6 linked regions of the Oryctolagus cuniculus genome follow. The protein of the gene in region 5 interacts with the protein of the main gene of each other region in a pairwise test. Links are inferred from orthologs where the notes say so. Each region holds a gene or a part of one and is shown on either strand. Other genes may lie near its edges. The genes, in order: RNF144B, RNF144A, ARIH2, DTX3, UBE2L6 and RNF125.

Region 1 (2,590 bases), on a different chromosome or scaffold from region 5:
AGATATAAAACATTTTCATTTTATTTGTTAAACATTTTTGTTGTTTTATCAGTGCCTGTACACACAGCACTAAATTATCAAGAACAGAGCTGCTCTGACTTATGTATGAAAACATGTAAATAACTTGATTATCAATGAATATTTTTATAAATAGACATACTATGATATTGTTCTAGGTACTATTTTAAAAGATTAATATTTCTGAGTCTATACCCTTGGGTAAGATACGAACTTGCAACCAAAATTCACATATATAATATGCAAAATATCTTAAGCTTGATTTATATTAAGCTATTTTAGTCACAGGATAGAATGAATTTGTGTTTATTATTGAGTATATCCATGCAGGTCCAATTGGTAGAAATTCTAGATAGGCTGCAAGTCATATGGATTCCAGATGGACTTTAACATGTATTTTCGTGGTACACTTTTAAGTCTAATTTCAGATCTGTTGGGAACACAGAGCCTGAGAAAGACCCCTGGTATCTATCAGGGAGATTTTGAGTCTTTACCACTAGATCCACATTTCATATAAAGCAATTTTGTAGACCACAAGTCCAGGCTGTAAAAGACAAGTTGGCCCCAGGAAAGTTCTTTTTCGCTGAGGGAGAGACCCTAAATTAGACCATGCTGTTTCACATGCTGCAACCTGATTACTGAGGAAAAGACAACACCCTCTTGCACAGCAGTTTCTCCTGCCTGAAGCTGAGATCAGACAAGGAGAAAGCTATTGTGCTTCTGCCAGGTCACTGCGGGAACGCTGGGAACGGCACAGCCAGTAGCACAAAGCCATTGACTCCTAAGATAAGCAGGCTGCTTCCAGCTCTCATGAAAATTCTCTGTTCTGCAGTCCATCCTTCCCCTCCTACACCAGGCTTCCCTCAGGTGTCTCATGGTGGTCAAATCAAGACAGAAGAGAATGGGGTTTCTGTTATCATATGTGTTACCAACCACAACTCATTTATTACATCGAATGGCAGGCTCCTTGAATTGGCTGGAAGTTGAACAGTTCAGTGGGATCCTGTAGATGAGAAAATGATATGTGTGTTCTTCCCAATCTCCCCAAAGTGCCCAACATGCTCCACAGACACAGCCTGAATTGTAGAGCCTGGTTCTTGTTACACGGAACACTTGCACCCAGGACTTGGCCTTTGTCAATGCCGAAGGCTGGCAGGCAAGTTCAAAGTCTGGACACAGAGGCACTTCCAAAGTTTGGCAAGGAGACAAGGTCACTACGTAGGGCTTTATCGCTGTGTGCTATGTCATATAACGCAGACATTTGTGGCACATGGACATAATAGAGATCCTTAGGTTGTGGACAGGTCGTGCTTTTTCTTCTTGCCCCGACATGACTTGCAGACGCAACAGATGATGCAGGGTGAGGCCAGGAGTAACAAGGGTGAAGTCACCAAGGCAATGATGCCCAATCCTACGAGAATCCCCACCACCTAGAAATTTAAAAGAAAAGCATGTTTCAGCAGTTAAATCTTCCTACATGTGTATTTATTCCAACTGCACCATCTGCTATGGATTGTGCCCTCCAAATTAATATGCCAAAACCAAATCCCCAGTGTGATTTTGGAGATAAGGTCTTTGGAGATGAATTAAATTATAAGGGTAGGGTCCTCATGATGTGATTAGTGGCCCTATGGAAGAGATGTGCCTTGAAGGTCACCACATTGTTTTCCATGTGAATTGTGACTCCTGGGAATCAGCTATGTAGCCTTGAACCTGAACACAATCAAATAGCTCCAATAAACATTTCCTTATATCAAAAAAAAAAAAAAAAAAAAAAAGAAGAAGAAGAAGAAATGTTTGAGAGCTTGTTTCCTTTCTCCCTGTTCTTCATCAAGGGAGGACCCAACAAAAAATGGACATCTTTGAAGCAGGAAGAGAGCCCTTGAATTTCTGCTGTCTAAATCATTCAAGCAGCCTGAATAAATAAGACATCATTTGGAGCATATAAAAGTTATATCTATGGGATCTTTTCACTAGCACCCCAGCACTGGCCCAAAATGGGTACAAACCAGGGAGACACAAAAAAATCAAAATCGAGGGTGAGAGCAAACCAAATGCTAACTCCAGCTCTGTCTCAAGCTCAATCTACTCAGAAGCCATTGCTGTTGGCACTTTCTCTACCTGAGTTGCCTCTATATTCTCACAGGGATGTTAATGATTGCTGGGATGTTAGCACTGACTCCCTCAAAAGAACCGTGGCCTTTGATAAATATAAAAATAAACCATGACTCCCTTTGAACCTACCACACAAACACACAATGGCAGGTACAGAGGGTTCTAAGTCCCAGCAGGGGCTCATGGGACTGTCCAGCGCTGCCTCTGATAGGCATCATTATTAAGCATTACAGCGATTTAGGGGTCATTCCATCGAATGTCAAGGGGAAAGAGGTCTGCTGTGATTCTGTAGGTCACTGTTATCTGCATGGAGACTTTGGCAGTTGCCCCATCACTTCTCCCTATCACAGCCCAGAACATCCCAGACAGGCATGGATGGGAAGGGAAGAGAGTGACGAGGATGAATGGGTGGGCTCCTTGTTTGTCTCATGCTCCCTTCAAGTTCAGGATTACCTGT
Region 2 (4,234 bases), on a different chromosome or scaffold from region 5:
ACACCTGAGTGCCTGAGTTCCAGTCCCACTCAGCTCCAGGCTGCAGCTTCCTGCGGCTCCCAGACGCTCAGAGGTACTGGTGACAGTTTAAGTTGTGGGGCTTCAACCTGTAGCCAGGGGCCACTGCAGATATTTGGGGTGTGAACCAAAGGATGGAAGTCCTCTCACTCTCTCTCTCTGCCTCGCTCACTCTCAATAAACACTACTATGGCTGTAATTACTACATAATTGAGAAAAATAGCATAAACATGATAATGTTGATGTATATTATTCTTATGTATGTCTAAAAAATAGATTTCTATTTAAAAAAAGAAGGCTTAGGGGCCAGCATTGTAGCATAATAGGCTAAGATTCTGCCTGCGGAACAGGCGTCCCATATGGGCACCTGTTCAAGTCCCAGCAGCTCCTCTTCCAATCCTGCTCCCTGCTGATGGCCTGGGAAAGCAGTGGAAGATGGTCCAAGTGCTTGGGCCCCAGCACCCACGAGGGAGATCCAGAAGAAGCTCCTGGCTCCTGACTTCGGAACGGTCCAGCTCTGGCCACTGCGGCCATTTGGGGAGTGAACCAGACATGGAAGACCTCTGTCTCTCCCTCTGTCTGTAACTCTGAATCTCAAAAAATCAAAACATCTTTAAAAAAAAAAAAAGATTTGTAGTTTTCTCATGAATTTTCTGTAACCATAGGTATTACTTACAATAAGATCCAAAGCAAGATCAATTTTGTGTTTTTCACTTTTACATCTATAATGGCTTTACTCCTTTGTTCACATATATACACAGATAATTTATTATAAAAATGAAACTCAATTTTACCAACTTTTTCCGCACATATGGCAAAAATCACATAATAAAAGTAATAGAATGGAGATGAATTTCCGTGGCCAGCTAACAACTGAATCAGCAGATCTCCCCACAAATGAACAGCTTTGGAAACCACCAGAACTGCACAGGAATTTAATACCAAGACATCCGTCATTCAGGGCTGGGTTTCTGGGAAGTTCATCCTAACACCATTCCAAAGTTTGGCAAAGAGACCAGTGCTGTGGCATACACAATAGGCTAAGCCTTTGCCTGCGGCACCAGCATCCCATATGGTTTTCAGTTCATGTCCCAGCTGCTCCTCTTCTGATCCAGCTCTCTGCTTCTGGCCTGGGAAAGCAGAAGATGGCCCAAGTGCTTGGGCCCCTGCACCCACATGGGAGACCCTGAAGAAGCTCTTGGCTCCTGGCTTCAGATTGGCCCAGGTCCAGCCATTGTAGCTTTCTGGGGAGTGAACCAGTGGATAGAAGACCTTTTTGCCTCTCCCTCTCTCTGTCTGTAACTGCCTCTCAAATAAATCACTTTAAAACAAAAATCTTTAAAAAAAGAAAAAAAACTTGGCAAATAATTTCACTGCACCCAAATCTTTTTCTCTTAGAGGTAACTTGTTCAAGCAAAAATACTCCAGTGTTTGAAAAAAGAGAGTATTAACATGTGTTGTTATTAAAACACATGACCCCAATTGCAAGTCTGTCAATATTATAGACATATTTAAGTCATTCCAATAACCTGAGCAGAAAAGGAGATTTTCATTGTCAAATCAATCAGCCAATCAGACTTAAGTGAGGTGCTTAACCTCACTTTAAATTCCGTTTAAATTCTCAACAATGTTTATATTTAGTATAAATATATTTACACGCATTATGACATATTACATACATTTATATTCTGTCTCTATATAGGAGTACTATTCAAAACTCTGAGAAGTCACAGAATACAACTCATAGAGTAGATCAGCACAATCACTAAAGTCAAGGTTAAAATGAAATGGAGGTCACTGAACTGGATCTGAATTCTGCCGATGGAGAGGTCTTCTCATAGATATTGCAGAACAATGTGGGACATGGCCACATTAGGAGTTATTCACAAACTGTACACATGAGAGAAGGCACGGCATTCTTTGGCCAATGTGTGTGTGTGTGTACCTGTGCAACCCTGTGTTAGCATTCAGAAAAAAATGCATTGATTTTTGGTAGGTGGCGTGGGCCCAGTTTCCCGTCCGGGCCTCTCCACTGCTCTCAAGCTCATCTGTGTGCACAACACCCACGCAGCACTTCTGCTGGCCCCCTCTCCCTGGCCTCCTGGCTCTCTGCACCCACAGGGTAGATTCACATGCCTCGGGCTGCCCACAGTCAGGCTCAGCCCCAGCTGGCCCCAGCACTGCTGTCCGAGGTGTCCCCCTGCCCCCCAGCAGCCATGCTTGATTGTCTTAGCTTCGCCCTGGCCTGTGCTCACCCTCTGCAGCCTGGAGCCTACGCCGCTGCTTGTTAACATTACTGGACCAGAAACGTACTCTGAGCATTTATCCTGAGAGCACCCGTGACCTTGTACAAACACATGCTCCCCTGGGAAGAAATCAACGCCATCCCAGGAACACGCCAGGAGGACTATGGGAGACTCACCTGTGATGGACTGGCCACCACCCCACATACATGACGTCACAGGACATATATGAAAGTAGCCCGGAGTGCAGCGAGCACAGAAAACCGTAACTGATCCAAACGTGGAGAGCGCGGCTGCTGTGGCTTCTCTGAACAAGGGCAGCAGCCGCTGCAGCCCTGCAGGGCACCGCCAACCGCACTCAGTTCTGAAAACATCACGCGTTTCTCCCCATCTGCAGCCCTGAAGCTACCGGGGATGGGAGCTGGGGGCCGACAGCTGCGTGTCCAGCTCACCCTTGACAATGACCTTTGCCCTAGAGGCCCAGGCGCCCAAAGCCTGGGCTCAGAGACAGCAGCTGCAGCCCTCCCAACACTGCTATTCCCAGAGCTGAAGGACAGCCAAGGACGAGTCCAAGTTTCTTAGCCAGAGATTTAAAAAAAAAAATGATATTCTGCACTTGGGGGAAAAAAGAAAACAGAGCACAACACTGTCTTTCAGATTTAGCAACTCCAATCACAGATGTGCGAATGGGGGGCCGGTTTCCAGTCCAGGGACACCGTTTCCCTTTATAAATCCTAAACCCCTAAAAATAGCTGTGCCTGGGCTGGAATGTCTTTCTCTGGCATTTCGTCCCCTTTGACACGAATCCTTTGTGAATAGGAAGCCGTGTCACCGTTCTTGGAATGTGCTGCAGACCAGATTCCCAAACAGCACGGCCTGTGCACAGACGCGGGAAAGAATGCAGAGTTCCAGGCGGGCTTGCAGGGCATTATCCCACGTGCTTCAAGGTGTCCCTGTGTGCCTGCAGGGCCCCAGGCCTCTCTGCACCCGGACGTGCATTGCAGGGACAGACGCAATGCGGGGACAGACGCAGGGTCAGTAAAGTCAAGTTTGCAAACAATAGGTACATCAAGTTTATAATGTACATGTGGGCCATGGACTACAAGAGGAAGAAGAGCAGGCACGAATGTCAACCTTCCTCCTCGCCGCCATGTTCCTGAGCAGTGACTCAGCACAGGAATGCATGGGTTCCAGGTCTTACCCTAGGGGCACAGCAGGCATGTGGTGGACAGTGCTGGCCAATGAAAGGGCGAGGCAGCTGGACATGGAGCTGGAGTCGGGGAGAGCAACGCTGGAGCCCTGGGTTCCTGCAGATGCCCGAATTCCCAGCTGCACGTGTCAGCTACAGGGCAGCCCCCCCGCAGGTCCTCCAGGGCCTTGAGCTCCAAGTATCTGACCACCCAACCCAATCGCCTTCTTTCCTCCCTGCACCACCTCCAGCCCCTCTGCAATGGGCCTTGTTTCTCTCTGGCATGCACCACCAGCTTGGGCCCCCCTCTCTCTCTGTCACTCTCTGATTGGCCAAGGGCTCGCTCCATTCTGCTGACAATGCAAGTCCCAGCTGATAAGCCTGGGGAAACAGCAGAACCCAAGTGATGTCTTTCACATGGGGCTCCAAGCTTCACGGGCCATTCCTGTGGCCCAGCAACCCCTGCACAAGCCCCTCTCTGGAGGGCTCCCCACCCCCAAGTCCTGCAGACACAATGCTTCCTCTCCACAGCGCCATAGCTGGTCACCAGCATCCTATGTCACTGGGAAATGATAAATACTTGTCCACAACCTGTCCCCCTTCCTCTCCTGCCTGCTGCCCTCCTATCAAAACCCAAACTGCCCTCCCCAAAGCCACGTGGCCCCCATGGCACAGCCCAGGCGTCAGCCTCACAACGCTTCCTGAGACGACTTCCTGCCACCTCCTGCCTCCCCCCCCCCCAATATGGCCGTTCCCTCTCTGTCTGCTCTGCTGGCAGCCTCTT
Region 3 (3,500 bases), on a different chromosome or scaffold from region 5:
GCTTTGCTGTGTAATTAATTATACTGCTTATAGGAGCAACCCTAGCCAATGCGGTATTTGAAACAGTAGCAAGCACAAGTTGCCAGGGAGAGGGCAGTATTGCCGCTGTTAGATGAAGGCTCCCAGGAGAAGTTGAACAGCCTTTGGGTCTCTGGGTTTGGCTTTAGCTTCCCTACAGCTTGACAAGAGCCTAAGCAGAGTTTACCTACCACTGTCAGGGGCTCTGCAGACAGGACATCATCTACATTATTGGACATACAAATGAACTGTGGTTGACCCTGCTCCGTTAGGCTGTAGTAATTCCTGGGATGTACGGCATCCATAAGGGTATCTTAAATTTTTCCTTTTTGCTTCCTTAGTTTGGAAGCAGAGTCATGCACCTCCCCACCTGCCCTTCCTCTCCCCTTTTCTCTCCCTCCCTCCCTTGCCCGTCTCTGTGCCTTTTAATAAATAAATAAATAAATCTTCTTTAAAAAAAAAAAATGAAGGGAGGTGCTGGCATTGAGGTGCCGTGGGTTAAGTCACCACTTGCAGTGCTGGCATCCCATATGGCTGTGGATTCAAGTCCCACTTGCTCCACTTCCAATCGAGCTCCCTGCTCATGTGCCTGGGAAAGCAGCAGAAGGTGGCCCAAATACTTGGACTCCTTCTACCCACATAGGAGACCCAGATGGAGTTTTGGTCTCCTGGCTTCAGGCTAGTCAAGCCCCTGCCATTTGGAACGTGAACCAACTAATGGAAGATATTCTCTCTCTCTCTCTCCCATCTGCCCCCCGCCCCCCACTTCCTCCTATAACACTGCCTTTTAAATAAATAAATCTTAAAAAAAAAAAAAAAAAAAAAAAGAAGAGGACCAGCTTCACATACAAACATCTTCCTAGGTCAAGTGTTAGGAAGATGAGAGATAGGATATACAGATGGTGTGTGTTGTAGCCAACCAGGTGGGCTTCAGTTGGACAAATTTCTGCTTCTTATAGTGGTACTGACACAGCAGGCCCGTGGTCCTTGTATAGTCTGCACCTACCTATGTTGAAATTAATAGACACAGAGCGCATGTGCTCATGGAATGGTGAATATCCATAAGCTGTCATATCAGCAAGGACAGGCCTCAGGGATAATGCGAGGTAATGTTCCCTCTGGAAAGAGGCAGCCAGGATGTTCTAGTCAGGTGATACCTCCGGGTCTGTCCATCCCACTGCTTTGCCAGTGCCTTGGAGGGATGTGGGTTTGTCTTACGGCTATAAGTGACTCTCCCTTTGTTCTGTGCAGACTTCTGCTGGATGTGTCTAGGAGACTGGAAGACTCATGGCAGTGAATACTATGAGTGCAGTCGGTACAAGGAGAATCCTGACATTGTCAACCAAAGCCAGCAAGCCCAGGCCAGGGAGGCCCTCAAGAAGTACTTGTTCTACTTTGAGAGGGTAGGCGTCTTTTCCTGTGCCCATCCCACCAGGGTGGGCTTCTGTGGTTAGCCTACCTGGGTGGGCTGACTGGGCTGACTGGTAGCCAGAGCCAGCCTGTGCATAGAGAACGCAGTGAATGAAGCTCCTGCCAGTAGCCCTGGTGCTACCTCTACACCTGTGCCTTTTAGGCTCTACTGGGTAGCCACAGCTGGAGAGGGACAGGGAACTGACCTCAGTTAACGATGGATGAAAGGATAATGAAGACTCATTAGACAGTTTTCATTCCAGTGCTTTTAAAAAAAATTATTTATTTATATTTAAAATAGAGAAAGAGAGATCTTCCAACTGCTGATTTACACCCCAGATGCCTACAACGACTAGGGCTGAGCCAGGCCAAAGCTAGGAGCTTTATCCTAGGTCTCCCCTGTGGGTGAAGGGGCACGAGCACTTGGGCCATCTTCCACTGCTTTCCCAGGCCACAGCAGGGAGCTGAAATGGAAGTGGAGCAGCCAGGGCATGAACTGGTGCCCATAGAATGGCAGCCTAACCCACTGCGCCGCAACACTGGCCCTCCAGTGCCTTCTTAGTGGTCAGAATTAGGGAATGGTTTCCCCCAGGGAGACCCTTCAGAAGTCAGAGTATGACAGTTGGTCCCTAAGCACAGTAGACTAGTGGGGGCCCCCGCTTTGCTTGGCTGTCAGGGCCAGAGTCCCGTTTCCCCAGCGGGATGGAGTACTTGGGCAGGCAGAGAGCTGTTCTGAGGGTTTACTGAAACTGTTCTCGTGGGTGCACTGAAAGCAAGCCCTTCCTGCACTGTGGAGGCCACACACACTCCCCGTAAGTTCAAGGAGTCTGTCGTCATGCCCTGCCAGCCAAAGGTGTGTCCTGAGTGTGTGGACCTGTGGACTTGTGGACCTCCTGGGATTCCTGCAGCTTTCTCCTTCTCTCTGTGCCCTCTAGTGGGAAAACCACAACAAAAGCTTGCAGCTAGAGGCGCAGACATACCAGCGGATTCATGAAAAGATTCAAGAGAGGGTTATGAATAACCTGGGGACGTGGATCGACTGGCAGTATCTACAGAACGCTGCCAAGCTCTTGGCCAAGGTATCTACCACCTCACTCTTGGATCCCCTCTCCAGTGCCTGGCCCCCATCAGGGCACACCTCTGAGGGTGGGAGGTCTTGTGGGGAGTGGGAGTCGTTAGCACCCTGCACAGCCTAATGTGCTTCTGCTGACAGACCCACATTTCCTTGTGCTGGGCCCTTGAGGGACTCAGTCCTTTGATGGAAGTCAGAGGCTTTTTTTTTTTTTTTTTTTTTGACAGGCAGAGTGGACAGTGAGAGAGAGAGACAGAGAGGAAGGTCTTCCTTTGCCGTTGGTTCACCCTCCAATGGCCGCCACGGCTGGCGTGCTGCAGCCGGCGCACTGCGCTGATCCGATGGCAGGAGCCAGGAGCTTTTCCTGGTCTCCCATGGGGTGCAGGGCCCAAGCACTTGGGCCATCCTCCACTGCACTCGCTGGCCACAGCAGAGAGCTGGCCTGGAAGAGGGGCAACCAGGACAGAATCCGGCGCCCCGACCGGGACTAGAACCCGGTGTGCCAGCGCCGCAAGGCGGAGGATTAGCCTAGTGAGCCGCGGCGCCGGCCCCAGAGGCTTTCTAAGAATAGTGTTCTGCTGCCTCTGCCTGCAGGGAAAACTAGAATCCCCTTCCTCTCCCTTTGTCCCATCTCTGCGTCGTGCAAAGGAAAATGAAAAGATAGTCTTCGGACAAATATTGAGATAGATATGTGGACTCTGATGTCCAACCCAAGAAGGAGAAGTCACTGAGGCAGTGCTGGTAATAAATCACAGTTTGAAAAAGGAAAGGTGGGTGTCCTGTGATCAGTTCTGTTCTGCTTTCCCCATGTCTTGCCCCAGTCCATCTTCTCCTTGGCTTGGCTCTGATTCTTTGAAGCCCAGACCTGTAGAGCCAGGTTAATCTGCATGGTGGGGCAAGAGTTTTCAGAGCCACCTGAGGTAGAGGTAGGTTAGAATCACAGACACAGGTCCCTTCTCTTCTCTCCTGCTGCAGTGTCGGTACACTCTGCAATACACCT
Region 4 (4,168 bases), on a different chromosome or scaffold from region 5:
GCTCTTTCTCTGCCTCCTTCAGCAGCCCCTTGAGAGCCTTGCGGGCCAGGTAGAGCCCATTGGGAGGGGCGGGGGGCGGGCCCTGCGGGGAGAGCTGGAGAACGTAGATGTCAGAAGTCTCGCCATCTATGAGGATGGACACGCGGTGCTCCTCCCGAAGCCGGGCCAGCCGGGCTGGGGTCTCCTTGCTCAGGAAGTCCCACACAGGCTTGGAGACAGTCACTTTGTTCTTGCAGGTGCCTCCACAGGCTGCCATTCTGGACAGGACGAACGACACTGCCCCCAGGGTGAAAGGGACTCAGGGTGGGGGGTCCCCATGGACAGGTGCCAGTGCCTCCTACATCAGGCTCCTGCCAAAGCCCACATGACCCCTATGCTCTCAAAGCTGAGCCCCCAGCCCCTCCCCCAGCTCTACCTTCCATTGAACCCCAGCACCCACTGAAGGCAAGAGTTTCCATAACTTTGTTATGATGGAAACATCAGTCTGGCTGTTTCTTTCCATTCTCCCGCTACACAGAAACAATGTGTCCCTCTGCCCTCTGGGGAGTTTTGATGCCCCCCTCTCCTTTGCTCACTTTGATCCTGAAGAGCTTAGAATTGGCATGCAGGCTCACTCTCTCTTTCCTGCTCCCTACTTGTGGGTTGTATCACCTGGTAGGGTGGGGAGGAAGAGGAGAAAAAGTAAGAAACCCCTTCTGCCAATTCCCACAGGTCCCAACCCAGCAGCCTGAAACAGAGGCAGGAGTGTGTCTCTGAGTGTAGATTACCGAATAGGGTTACTTGGGACACGGGAGGGAGGAGATCCATGTCTGGGTGGAAGCTGAGGTTCCCACAAGGGGCAAGTACCTGGAAAGCCCATGGAAGATGACGGCAGCAGAAGCCCCTCTATATCCACACTCAGCTGACCAGGGCTGGGGGAGGGTTAACAGTTACCATGGCAAATGTTCTCTCTCTCCCTGGCAGCCCAGAAACAAAACTTCTCCCAGGTACTCTCCTCCCCTGCAGAATGCCATTCCCAGCCTCCCCCGAGGTTGCAAGAGGCACTGTGACCTGTTAACCTTCCTCTTCCCGGCTCCAGCTCTGGGGCTCCCCAAAAAGCCCAGGGTCCAAGTAAGATAAGTCAACACAGCAGAAGCCCACATCAGTGGAGCTTTCTTATCACCTCCCTCAGATCACATAGACAAGAAATTGCCCTGTGCTCCCCAACTCCTTGTCCTGCTCCCACTTTCTCAAAGAACTCTGCCCTGAAGCCGGTGAGCTGAAGTTAGGGGTGCAGAAAGTGGCAGCGGCCCTGCAGTAACAAAGTTCTCACCGTCACCTTTGAGACCCAGCATGCCCGCGGGGCTGCTTGCCAGCTCCCCGGTCTGCATTTAGGGAGGGGCAGGGCTCAGGGGCACAGCTGGAGGGGTCAGAGGTGTCCCTGAGCCCTGTCAGATTCAGTCACTGGGCTGTCCTCACAACACCTCCAAATGCAGCTTGTCAACTAGAAAGAGGGGCCATGTGACCTCAATTTCTTATCTGATCCAAAAAGGAGCAGCTGTCCCTTTGTGCCTCCATCGTAGTCTGCTCAAGGCCAGATGGACCTCGGATTCAGAAAGTGACACTGGATCTTAGAGCCCCCAGTGCTTGCCCCTGATGGAGCATCCCCTTCCCGACGTGGGGGGGGGGGGGGGAGACCCCTAGGACCTAAGTGTCCTAGCTCCAAGTCCTGCTGGCACAGAAGAGGGAGGCGGGGCCACCGCTTAGGCTGGGTCTGTGATTCCTCTGGGGCAGCCCTGGCCGGACTCGGGCCCAGTTCTGGCCTCCAGATAGAGGGTGGAGGCAGGGACAGCCCGGAAGGGCAAGGGTCCCTCGGGGCATCCACTGTGGCAGCTCCACCCCTCCCCCCACGACCCCCTCCAGGTCCCGACCTGGACCCAACTCCCCACTTCCCCTACTCGCCCAAGCCCCCACAGCCTCACCACCAGCTGGGTGGTGTACGGTGGCCTGATCGCGGCCCTCAGAACCCCCAGACGGAGGCCTGGAGGCCGGGGCCGGAGGATCAGAGAGATGAAGGGCCGGGCACCGAGGGGGGCCCCGGCGCGGTGCGTGGGGGTAGGGGATGCCAGAGGAGGTGGGGGGGCGTGAGGGGGCCGCGAGCGGGGGCCGGGGGGCGCGCAGTGGGTGTGGGGGGCGCCGGGCTCACCTACCTCTCGTCAGCGCCGCCATTGCCGGTCACATGACTGAGGCTGTTGCTGGGATGACGGTCCGGGCCTTAGCAACAAGGGGGGGGAGACCCTGAGAGGGTTGGGGGGGCTGCAGGGGTGCAGTGAGAGACTGAGGAAGAGGGAGGACAGCACCCCCTCTCCCCTCACAGGTGATGATTACCGCTTCCCTTGACCCCTGCTATGCGGGAGCCCCTGCCCTTCCGCCCCAAAACAAAAATGGAGGCGCAGTCCCAGGCTTGGGAGGGAGGGGTGGCGTCATGTAAGTGAGGGTAGGAGGTTAAATCCCTCGGAGACGCCACCCTCCTCGCGCCCCTCCTCTCCTTTCCCAGCCAGCTGCGTGGCAGCTTCGGGGGGCGGGGGCTGGAGGGGCAGGGTTTGCGAATCCTTGTGCGGGAAGGGACTTGGGAGGAACGAGGCGGGATGGGAAGGGGCACAGTGAAAAGCAACGCACTGATTCTAAAACAGAAGCGTCTCCTTACCAGCGGCTCCGGGGCCCTCCCTCGCCCCTGGCCTCTTCCCAGATCACCTGGGACCCCCACCACCTGCGCTCACACAAGGGGACTGCCTGATCCTTCCCCTTCCAAGACTGGGGTAGCGAGGCTGGTGCAGAATGAGCAAGTGAATACACTGTTTTGTTTTTCAAATCACTGGGGGTGGTGCTGGTGTCAAGTGTATGGTTCTAATAGAGTTAAAAACTCAGAAAGGAAAAAAAAAAAGCCAGCTCTGTTCTGCTTCCCACGTCAGGCAGTCTCCGCCCCCACCCAGCTCACTTCCCAGGGGCCACATCAAGCCAGGTTTTTCCACCAGCAAGGCCGTGGGCCAAGCTACACTCACTCTCCCAGACTGGCAACAGCCCCTACTCCCCCACCCTTCACTTTCCCAGGCCCCCGTGCTACTCTGCCTGCCCTTCAGGGGGTGCACCCTGGGGGAACACTGGGTTCCTCTGCCTTTAGCTGCTCGCTGCTGGACAGGCCTACTCACCTTTCCAGAGACTGGTGCTAGGAAGGCCTCAGAGAGGGAGGGTCACCCCCCCACGCCCCATTCCCAGAGGTGATTTAGTTTCCCACTCCCGTGCACACCCATCACTAGCTGTTGAATTCACAGCCTTCTGCCTAAAAACCAGTGCCTAGTGGGGGCCCAACACACCTCGAAGGCCAGAAGTACCCCTAAGTACAGGCTTTCTCAAAGTTTTTTTTTTTTTTAGAAAAGGCAATAATGTAAAGGAATTGAATAATTTATTTTCTGTATTGTAGTAGTAATGGGAGTAAATACACAAGACCTTTTTATTAATAAAACAAAAAAGAGGAAAAACAGAAGCAACAAATGAAGACCATACTGCCCATGATACATCAGCCACATGGCCAGAACACCACTTCTAAAGGACAATGGTTGCTGGTGTCACAGAGTTTTATTGCATTCGACAGGGAAAAGGTAGCAGGCTGGAATGGAAACGGTCCATCAGGGCCCTGATGGGAAAGCATTAGAGAGGTTCCAACCCCCAGCTGGGGACTCCTCTTGCTACTTCCTTTTGGAGGAGATTAAGGGGAGCCAGGGCTTCTCCCTATGACCTCATGACCTCTCGTGAAACCGATCAGTCCCAGCCAGACACAGAGAAGAGCAGCCCTGCAGCCCCAAGGGCAGCTGCTTGCATCCACCTTTCCGTTAACTGTGGGGTCCAACACGAGTGCCCGGGTTCCACACCCGCCTCCAGCTCCTGATGCAGACCCTGGGAGGCCACGGTGATGGCTCAAGTGATTGGGTTCCTGCCACTCAAATGGGAGACCTGGACTGAGTTCCCGGCTCCCAGATTCAGCCCTCAGTCCTAGCTACTGTGGGCATCGGGGGACACGAACTAGTGGATGGGAACTCTTATCTGTCTCTCTCAAATTAGAAAAAAGAAAGTTTAAATGTGGGAAGCTCCAAGGGGCTGGAGGACAACCTGAGCACAGGTGCTCTGGCTT
Region 5 (3,442 bases):
TGCCTGCCCATCATCAGCAAAGAGAACTGGAAGCCTTACACCAAGGCCTACCAAGGTGGGGCTGGGCCTTACCCCTGAGGGCGACACTGTTACTGGGTGGAGGAAGTTAGTGGACTTATTTTGAGTTAGACAAGCCTGAAAGAGAGGAGATAAAATGTGAGTCTCCGTGGAACCTACCGTTAGAGAGAAGGGGTGCCTCCTGAGATCCTGGATGCTCCTGGGCAGGTGTGACAGAGGAACTTGACCATGGACATGGGAAAGAGAGGCAGCGTGAATGCAGGGGGCAGGGCTTGGGACTAAGAAGGCCTGCTGCCCCATGTGTGGACTTAGGGCAAGACTCTATTCCTCTGTGGGACTCAGCACCCTAAGTGACAGTTGACAGTGGAGGGGATTGTCCTAACTGTGACAGTATTCATCCCTTAACTAAGCGCTGTCAGTGCACTGTGCAAAGAGCACTGTGAGCCTGCCCGCATCACCCCCAGGAGGTAGTGCTGTCATTAGCCCCATGTAATAGAGCCAGAGGCACATGAGTGGTGAAGCCGCTGCCTAAGGTCCTGTGGCTTGCAGATGGCAGAGCTTGGCTGACTCTAGAGCAGTGTTGTCCAGCTGAACTTGGTGCGGCCATGGAAATTTCCACAGCCCCACTGTCTGGTACCATCATCCCGGGCCTCATGTGGCTGTGCAACCAAGAAACAGAATTCTTCATGATGTTTTTTGTTGTTGTTTTTGTTTTTGTTTGTTTTAGGAAAGCTGTGGCCCATATAGGGGGCAAGATATTTTTTTAAAGGTTTATTTATTTTTATTTGAAAGTCAGAGTTACACAGAGTGAGGAGAGGCAGAGAGAGGGAGAGAGAGAGGTCTTCCATCCGATGGTCTACTCCCCAGTTGGCCGCAATGGCTGGAGCTGTGCTGATCTGAAGCCAGGAGCCAGGAGCTTCTTCCGGGTCTCCTCTGCAGGTGCAGGGGCTCAAAGACTTGGGCCGTCTTCTACTGTTTTCCCAGGCCATAGCAGAGAGCTGGATTGGAAGTGGAGCAGCCAGGTCTTGAACTGGTGCCCATATGGGATGCCAGCGCTTCAGGCCAGGGCGTTAACCTGCTGAGCCACAGCTCCCACCTTGTTCATGTTGTTTAATTTTAGTTAATTTAGAAAACTACATGGAGCTCCACATTGAACAATGGAGCTCCAGAACCCATGGGCTTCCTCTGGGTGCTGTCGTGTGTCTGGTCCAGCTCGGGAATTCTTAACCTGGGAAACAAGACTCTTGGCGTGGTGGTGGTGGGGCTGGGATGTGGGAGAGGTCCTAGGATGAGCCTCAGGGCTCTGTGGTGACGCACTGTTCACTCAGAGCTGTGTTTATGTGCGTACACATGTGTACTTGGGCTTCCACCTGCACGGGGCTCCCAAGGGCATCTGGAAAAGATTAAGTGCCATAGCAATAGGTTTTCCATCTTCAGCCTTAGAACCTTTTTTTCCCAGATAAATTTATTTGGAATCCCAGAATAACAACAGAAAACCAGGATGGGTCTTGTCGAAATGGGGCTGAAACCCCAAAATCTCTCTTATCTCAGTGACCCCAGAATGTGTAACTTTTCTGAAGCCATAGGACATAGCTGTTTGTAAAACACTGATCTCACCCGGCAAAGCTTTGGGCATCGTCCACCAGGAAGGGGAGGCAGTCTAAGAGATGGACTGTCCTTGGGGGTCCCCCTGAGCAGTGAGTGGGGGGATCCGGGGAGTGGACAGCCAGTGCCTCTATCCAGGGTTTTTCCCTCTGCCCTGATGTCCCGCTCTGGCCTCTCTCCACAGTCTTGGAGGCCCTCTACAATTTGGTGAATAGACCGGATCTGGCGGAGCCCGTGCGGGTAGAGCTGGCTGACCTGCTGACCCAGAACCCGGAGCTGTTCCAGAGGAAGGCAGAAGAGTTCACCCTCCAGTTCGGAGTGGACCGGCCCTCCTAAATTGGGTTTTGACCCCATCTGCGTGGGATCCTCTGCATGGTGGACCAATATACCTCACGGACTGGGGCTGGAGCCCCTGGATGAACCACTCCCCACTCAGTTTTTCCTTCTTAGGTTGCTAGCCATGAGTTTGTGTATGTGTGTGTGGCAGGAGGGAGGCTGTGGATGTGTGTGTGGTGTGAGGCCTCGCTGCCCCCAGGTTCACCTGGCCACAGGTGTGCCCTGCCCACTCCCTGAGCCTTCCCCACAGCCAAGGGGGTTTAAGTTTGCAGAGTGAACAGGTTAAATCTCCAGGGAGAGAGAGACAGGTCACATTCTAAGTCAGCCTGCTGGAAACCAGGATCCCTCCAGGGTCCAGGGCCCCAGGGAGCAGGGAGTATGGATGGGAAGCCGGGCTCGTGGAGGGCACTGTATTTCATATTTCAGTGGAGTGGTTGAAACCAGCCAAGCTACTGAGCGCCATGCACCGATTTAGGTGCTAAACCATTCATTTTCCATTTTCCACTGTTGAATCCTAAAACGAGGAGTCTGACCTCCATCCGGGGAGTCTGACTGTGTATTTTGACATTTCCTGCTATCCTGCCAGGTGGCCAGTTCCTGGGGACGGTAAGGCTGTGGCCAGCACCCGGTCCAGCAGAATCTACAGAGCCCAGTGCTTGCCTGGCCAGTGACGTCACAGATGGGGCAGGCAGTTGGCCTAGTGGTCAAGACCCTGGTTGGGATGGCCACGTCCCATACTGGAGTGCCTGGGCTTGAATCCCAGCTCTGCTCTCGACTCCAGCTTCCTGTTCGTGGGCACTGTGGGAGGCAGTGGGGGAAGGCTCAAGTGATTGGATCTCTGCCACCCTCCTGGGGGACCTGGATTGAGTTCCCAGTTCCTGATTCCCCACCCTTAACCCCCGCCCAGTGTCGGAGATTGAACCAGTGGATGGGAGTGCTCTCTCTCTCTCTCTAACAGAAATTAAACTTTAAATAGAAATGTTTTCTATGTCACAGGTGAATTCTGGGGTTGTGTCTCCAGTGAGGGGTGGGGTGGTTTCATCCATACCAGAGAGGGGGCTGCCCCGGCTGCTGCTGCCCCACAAACCCGTCGCCCTGCTTCCCGGACGCTGACCCCCAGCAGAGGTCCTCCGGAGTCCAGGGGCTGGGGGGCGGCCGTGTGGCACCGCGTTTGAGTCACTGCTGGGGACGTCTGTGTTCAAGTCCCAGGTGTTCTGCTTCTGATCCACTCAGCTTCCTGAATTGCCGGCATTTGGGAAGTGAACCCCCGGCCGGAACATCGCTCTCCATCTGTCTCGTGGTGTCTTGCTGTCTCTGCCTTTCACATGACACGAAAGTAAATAGGTTTTGTGAAAAGGTTCCCAGGGGTATCCACCGTTTTAGAGATGAGGCAGCCAAGGCACGGAGCGGCCCTTCGGTGGATCCCTTGGGTCCGTATTGCCAGTTAGGATGGACTCCACGCCTCCTGCAGCCACGCATCCTG
Region 6 (3,500 bases), on a different chromosome or scaffold from region 5:
TCTGATTGAGTAAAATGAAAATAACTAGATATTTTTAAAAATAGACATAGGTTATGTGTGTCTAATTTTAAAAATGTATAAAAACACAGCAGGGACAGTATTGTAGCGTGGTGGGCTAAGCAGCCACCTGTGATGCTGGATCCATATCAGAGCAACAGTTCGCATCCTGACTGCTCCACTTCTAATCCAGCTCCCTTCTAACACACCTAGGAATGCAGCAGCAGATTACCCAAGTACTTGGACTCCTGCACCCATGTGGGAAATCCAGATGGAGTTCGTGGCTCCTGGCTTCAGCCTGGCCCAGCCTAACCATCATGGCCATTTGGGGTGTGAACCAACGGATGGAGGGTCTCTTTCTTTTTGTCAGTATGTCTTTCAAATAGATAAAATAATAAAATCTTTAAAAATGCAAAAACTACATAGCACAGTGGAACTAAAATGCCAGGTTGAAAAGACAAAAGGCAGCATTAACAATAAATCTAGCCGGCGCCGCGGCTCAATAGGCTAATCCTCCACCTAGCGGCCCCGCACACTGGGTTCTAGTCCCAGTCAGGGCGCCAGATTCTGTCCCGGTTGCCCCTCTTCCAGGCCAGCTCTCTGCTGTGGCCCGGGAGCGCAATGGAGGATGGCCCAAGTGCTTGGGCCCTGCACTCCATGGGAGACCAGGAGAAGCACCTGGCTCCTGGCTTTGGATCAGCGCGGTGTGCCGGCCGCAGCGCACCAGCCGTGGCGGCCACTGGAGGGTGAACCAACGGCAACGGAAGACCTTTCTCTCTCTCTCTCTGTCTCTCACTGTCCACTCTGCCTGTCAAAAAAAAAAAAAAAAAAAAAACAAAAAAAAACAATAAATCTAGGAAAGGAAGAGCCATATGCCATATGTATATCTACTAGGCATATGGATAAGTATTCAGATTAGGAAAAAAAACAATAGGTTAATCAATTAAAATGAGTGACTTCATTTCTAGTGTCATATCACTATTTGCATTACTTAAAAATATTTTAAACTTAGGGTATGACTACGGTTAGTAAACTAAAATTAGATTTTATATATGCATTTTGGATCATTTTAGTTGATTATGCCCTTGAGTATCTGTAAGAGATAATGTATAATTTCATAAATGAAAGAGCAATTGCACATTAGAAGTTCTTGTCAGTTTCAACTCAGCACTTTCACATATCATTAACATAGAATTATCATAACCTCAACATCAATTATTGTCCTTTATAACAAAGCTATAAATAGAAATCTATTAAATGGACTAGACTATCTAATGTATCCAGAATTAGGACATTACTCAAATACATAGTAGCAAAATTCCTTACCACAGGCCTCCTTTCTGATCTGTGATGAGTAATACAATGATCCAGCAGGCTGTCTTCATCCAACTCCCTCTGACAAAATGGACATACACACCTGAAAATCACAGAGAATCCAAATGTTACTCAAATTGCTGGCAATCAGAGAGTAGTAGCATAAGTAGGGATTAGAAAAATACAACAGAGGGGTATCTGATCTCTGTTCCTAATTCTTTCTTTGATTTGGCATTATTTGTTCTGTCCTGATAATAGAGCTGATCCAGATGCCTGAATTTTTCTCCTAAGAAATATCAGTTAGTAGCTTCCCTGGGAAGGCAGAAAAACAGTTAATAGTACACTTTTTTTTTTTTTTTTTTTTTAGACAGGCAGAGTGGATAGTGAGAGAGAGAGACAGAGAGAAAGGTCTTCCTTTGCCGTTGGTTCACCCTCCAATGGCCGCCGCGGCCGGTGCGCTGCGGCCAGCGCACCACGCGGATCCGAAGGCAGGAGCCAGGTGCTTCTCCTGGTCTCCCATGGAGTGCAAGGCCCAAGCACTTGGGCCATTCTCCACTGCCTTCCCAGGCCACAGCAGAGAGCTGGCCTGGAAGAGGGGCAACCGGGACAGAATCCGGCGCCCTGACTGGGACTAGAACCCGGTGTGCCGGCGCCACTAGGTGGAGGATTAGCCTGTTGAGCCACGGTGCCAGCCTAATAGTACACTTAAAGCACTTTATTCTCTTTGGAAGGGAAATATAATCAGAGCAGCCATTAATTGAGAAACTGAGGATCACAGCAATCAACAGTTCTGTAGTTATCTTTTTCTTCCTCCCTTTCATAACAGATAACATCCAAATTGGGTGCTATTTGTTCTCCAACTCCACAAGAACAGGAGTACATAATTTCAGGTGTCAACTCACATTCTTAGTTTTCGGTGCAAAATAAAAACTGACTTGTAACTACCCCGTTAAATTTTTACACAGGTTAAGCTACTGCCTACCAGAAATCTAACAGTTCAGCATTCTATTTTTGGGTCTTCTCTAATATAAACTTTTCTAAGAAAGTTACCCTAATCTCTCCATTGCGTGGTCCGTTCCCTACACAGTTTTTAAAGTAGACAATGACAATGATTGCTATTAACAAATAATTAACAGTACCAGGTTTTATGGTGAAATGCCTAAACATAACTACATAAATATTTTCATAAGCGTTAAACTCTCCTACCCCTTAAATTCTTTATAGATGCATCAGATTTAACATCAAACTCCATTGTACTGAAACAAACCTTGTTGCTGTCTCCACAAGTTCTTGTAGTGGTCCATACTTATCAATGTACTTCTGACAAGTCCTTATGTGCGCTCTCATCTCACTGAGGCAAACCTATAGAAAAGCAAATGCAAAATAACTTTCACTGTTGAAAGAGGGCTTTATGTAACCCAGGTTATAACTTTCAAATAAGATCATACTATGAGCCAGCCAGTTATTTAAATAGATGCATTCATGACAACAGTATCACGAAATTAGGGCATCATCAAGAATAAAACTATTTTAAAATTTCTCCAATACTTAGTAGACCCAAATGTTAGTTCTTGAACTTGATTCTTCTAGAAAAATATAAAGTATATGTACTTTATATATATACTATATATTATATATATTTACTTTATATACTATACATTTATAGTTAATAATTTATATATAATATACTATATTATATATATTTTATGTACTATGTATAAAGTGTATAGAACATAGAACATATATATACATATATACATATATATATATACACTTTGAATTGGAACAATGGTTAGTAACTCAAAATTTGCATTTTGTGCATGCCAGAGAAAGAAAGGAAAGAAGGAAAATGAGTGAAGAAAAGGAGAGAGGGAGGAAAAAAAGAAAAACTTAAGAAGGAAAAGAAATAAAGAGAGATAAGACTAAATGGATAAAGATCTCCACAGTAAGTTAATAGAAACCTTGTGCTTTAGGGCAAGATAAATACCATGGTTTTATAATGTACGCAGTTAAGACATGAATTCACAATGCACAATATACTTAATGGCTCCATTAAAAGCAAACATAAAAGACGGCTCTTGCCATCGATTTTCATCAGTGCAGAATAAAGAGCCCCTATTCCTCCAGATATACATTCAGAGAGCTTCACCATGAGGGGTCTATTGCTAACACAGCACATATTCTACTAA

Evidence for each region.
Region 1: the proteins of UBE2L6 (region 5) and RNF144B interact in binary tests that used the Homo sapiens proteins (3 or more experiments, as listed by UniProt). The link is inferred for Oryctolagus cuniculus from reciprocal best matches to the Homo sapiens genes UBE2L6 and RNF144B.
Region 2: the proteins of UBE2L6 (region 5) and RNF144A interact in a two-hybrid assay, tested with the Homo sapiens proteins (2 studies listed by BioGRID and IntAct). The link is inferred for Oryctolagus cuniculus from reciprocal best matches to the Homo sapiens genes UBE2L6 and RNF144A.
Region 3: the proteins of UBE2L6 (region 5) and ARIH2 interact in binary tests that used the Homo sapiens proteins (3 or more experiments, as listed by UniProt). The link is inferred for Oryctolagus cuniculus from reciprocal best matches to the Homo sapiens genes UBE2L6 and ARIH2.
Region 4: the proteins of UBE2L6 (region 5) and DTX3 interact in binary tests that used the Homo sapiens proteins (3 or more experiments, as listed by UniProt). The link is inferred for Oryctolagus cuniculus from reciprocal best matches to the Homo sapiens genes UBE2L6 and DTX3.
Region 6: the proteins of UBE2L6 (region 5) and RNF125 interact in a two-hybrid assay, tested with the Homo sapiens proteins (3 studies listed by BioGRID and IntAct). The link is inferred for Oryctolagus cuniculus from reciprocal best matches to the Homo sapiens genes UBE2L6 and RNF125.

What each region holds. Positions count from the first base shown.
Region 1 is NC_091436.1:145,659,766-145,662,355, reverse strand, and holds part of RNF144B (E3 ubiquitin-protein ligase RNF144B), read right to left. Parts: coding exon 2,587-2,590; intron 1,449-2,586; coding exon 1,308-1,448; 3' UTR 1-1,307.
Region 2 is NC_091433.1:194,632,064-194,636,297, forward strand, and holds the start of RNF144A (E3 ubiquitin-protein ligase RNF144A), read right to left. Parts: upstream 2,801-4,234; 5' UTR 2,469-2,800; coding exon 2,441-2,468; intron 1-2,440. UniProt on the Homo sapiens protein: E3 ubiquitin-protein ligase which accepts ubiquitin from E2 ubiquitin-conjugating enzymes UBE2L3 and UBE2L6 in the form of a thioester and then directly transfers the ubiquitin to targeted substrates.
Region 3 is NC_091441.1:100,171,768-100,175,267, reverse strand, and holds part of ARIH2 (E3 ubiquitin-protein ligase ARIH2), read left to right. Parts: intron 1-1,269; coding exon 1,270-1,421; intron 1,422-2,363; coding exon 2,364-2,507; intron 2,508-3,449; coding exon of another isoform or gene 3,450-3,475; coding exon 3,476-3,500.
Region 4 is NC_091442.1:60,208,538-60,212,705, reverse strand, and holds the start of DTX3 (probable E3 ubiquitin-protein ligase DTX3), read right to left. Parts: upstream 2,801-4,168; 5' UTR 2,687-2,800; intron 2,638-2,686; exon of another isoform or gene 2,254-2,637; 5' UTR 2,190-2,253; intron 912-2,189; exon of another isoform or gene 768-911; intron 652-767; 5' UTR 605-651; coding exon 576-604; intron 483-575; exon of another isoform or gene 277-482; coding exon of another isoform or gene 258-276; coding exon 1-257. UniProt on the Homo sapiens protein: Regulator of Notch signaling, a signaling pathway involved in cell-cell communications that regulates a broad spectrum of cell-fate determinations.
Region 5 is NC_091432.1:14,578,014-14,581,455, forward strand, and holds the end of UBE2L6 (ubiquitin/ISG15-conjugating enzyme E2 L6), read left to right. Parts: coding exon 1-55; intron 56-1,807; coding exon 1,808-1,959; 3' UTR 1,960-2,942; downstream 2,943-3,442. UniProt on the Homo sapiens protein: Catalyzes the covalent attachment of ubiquitin or ISG15 to other proteins. Functions in the E6/E6-AP-induced ubiquitination of p53/TP53. Promotes ubiquitination and subsequent proteasomal degradation of FLT3.
Region 6 is NC_091441.1:45,592,409-45,595,908, forward strand, and holds part of RNF125 (E3 ubiquitin-protein ligase RNF125), read right to left. Parts: intron 2,674-3,500; coding exon 2,579-2,673; intron 1,415-2,578; coding exon 1,324-1,414; intron 1-1,323. UniProt on the Homo sapiens protein: E3 ubiquitin-protein ligase that mediates ubiquitination and subsequent proteasomal degradation of target proteins, such as RIGI, MAVS/IPS1, IFIH1/MDA5, JAK1 and p53/TP53.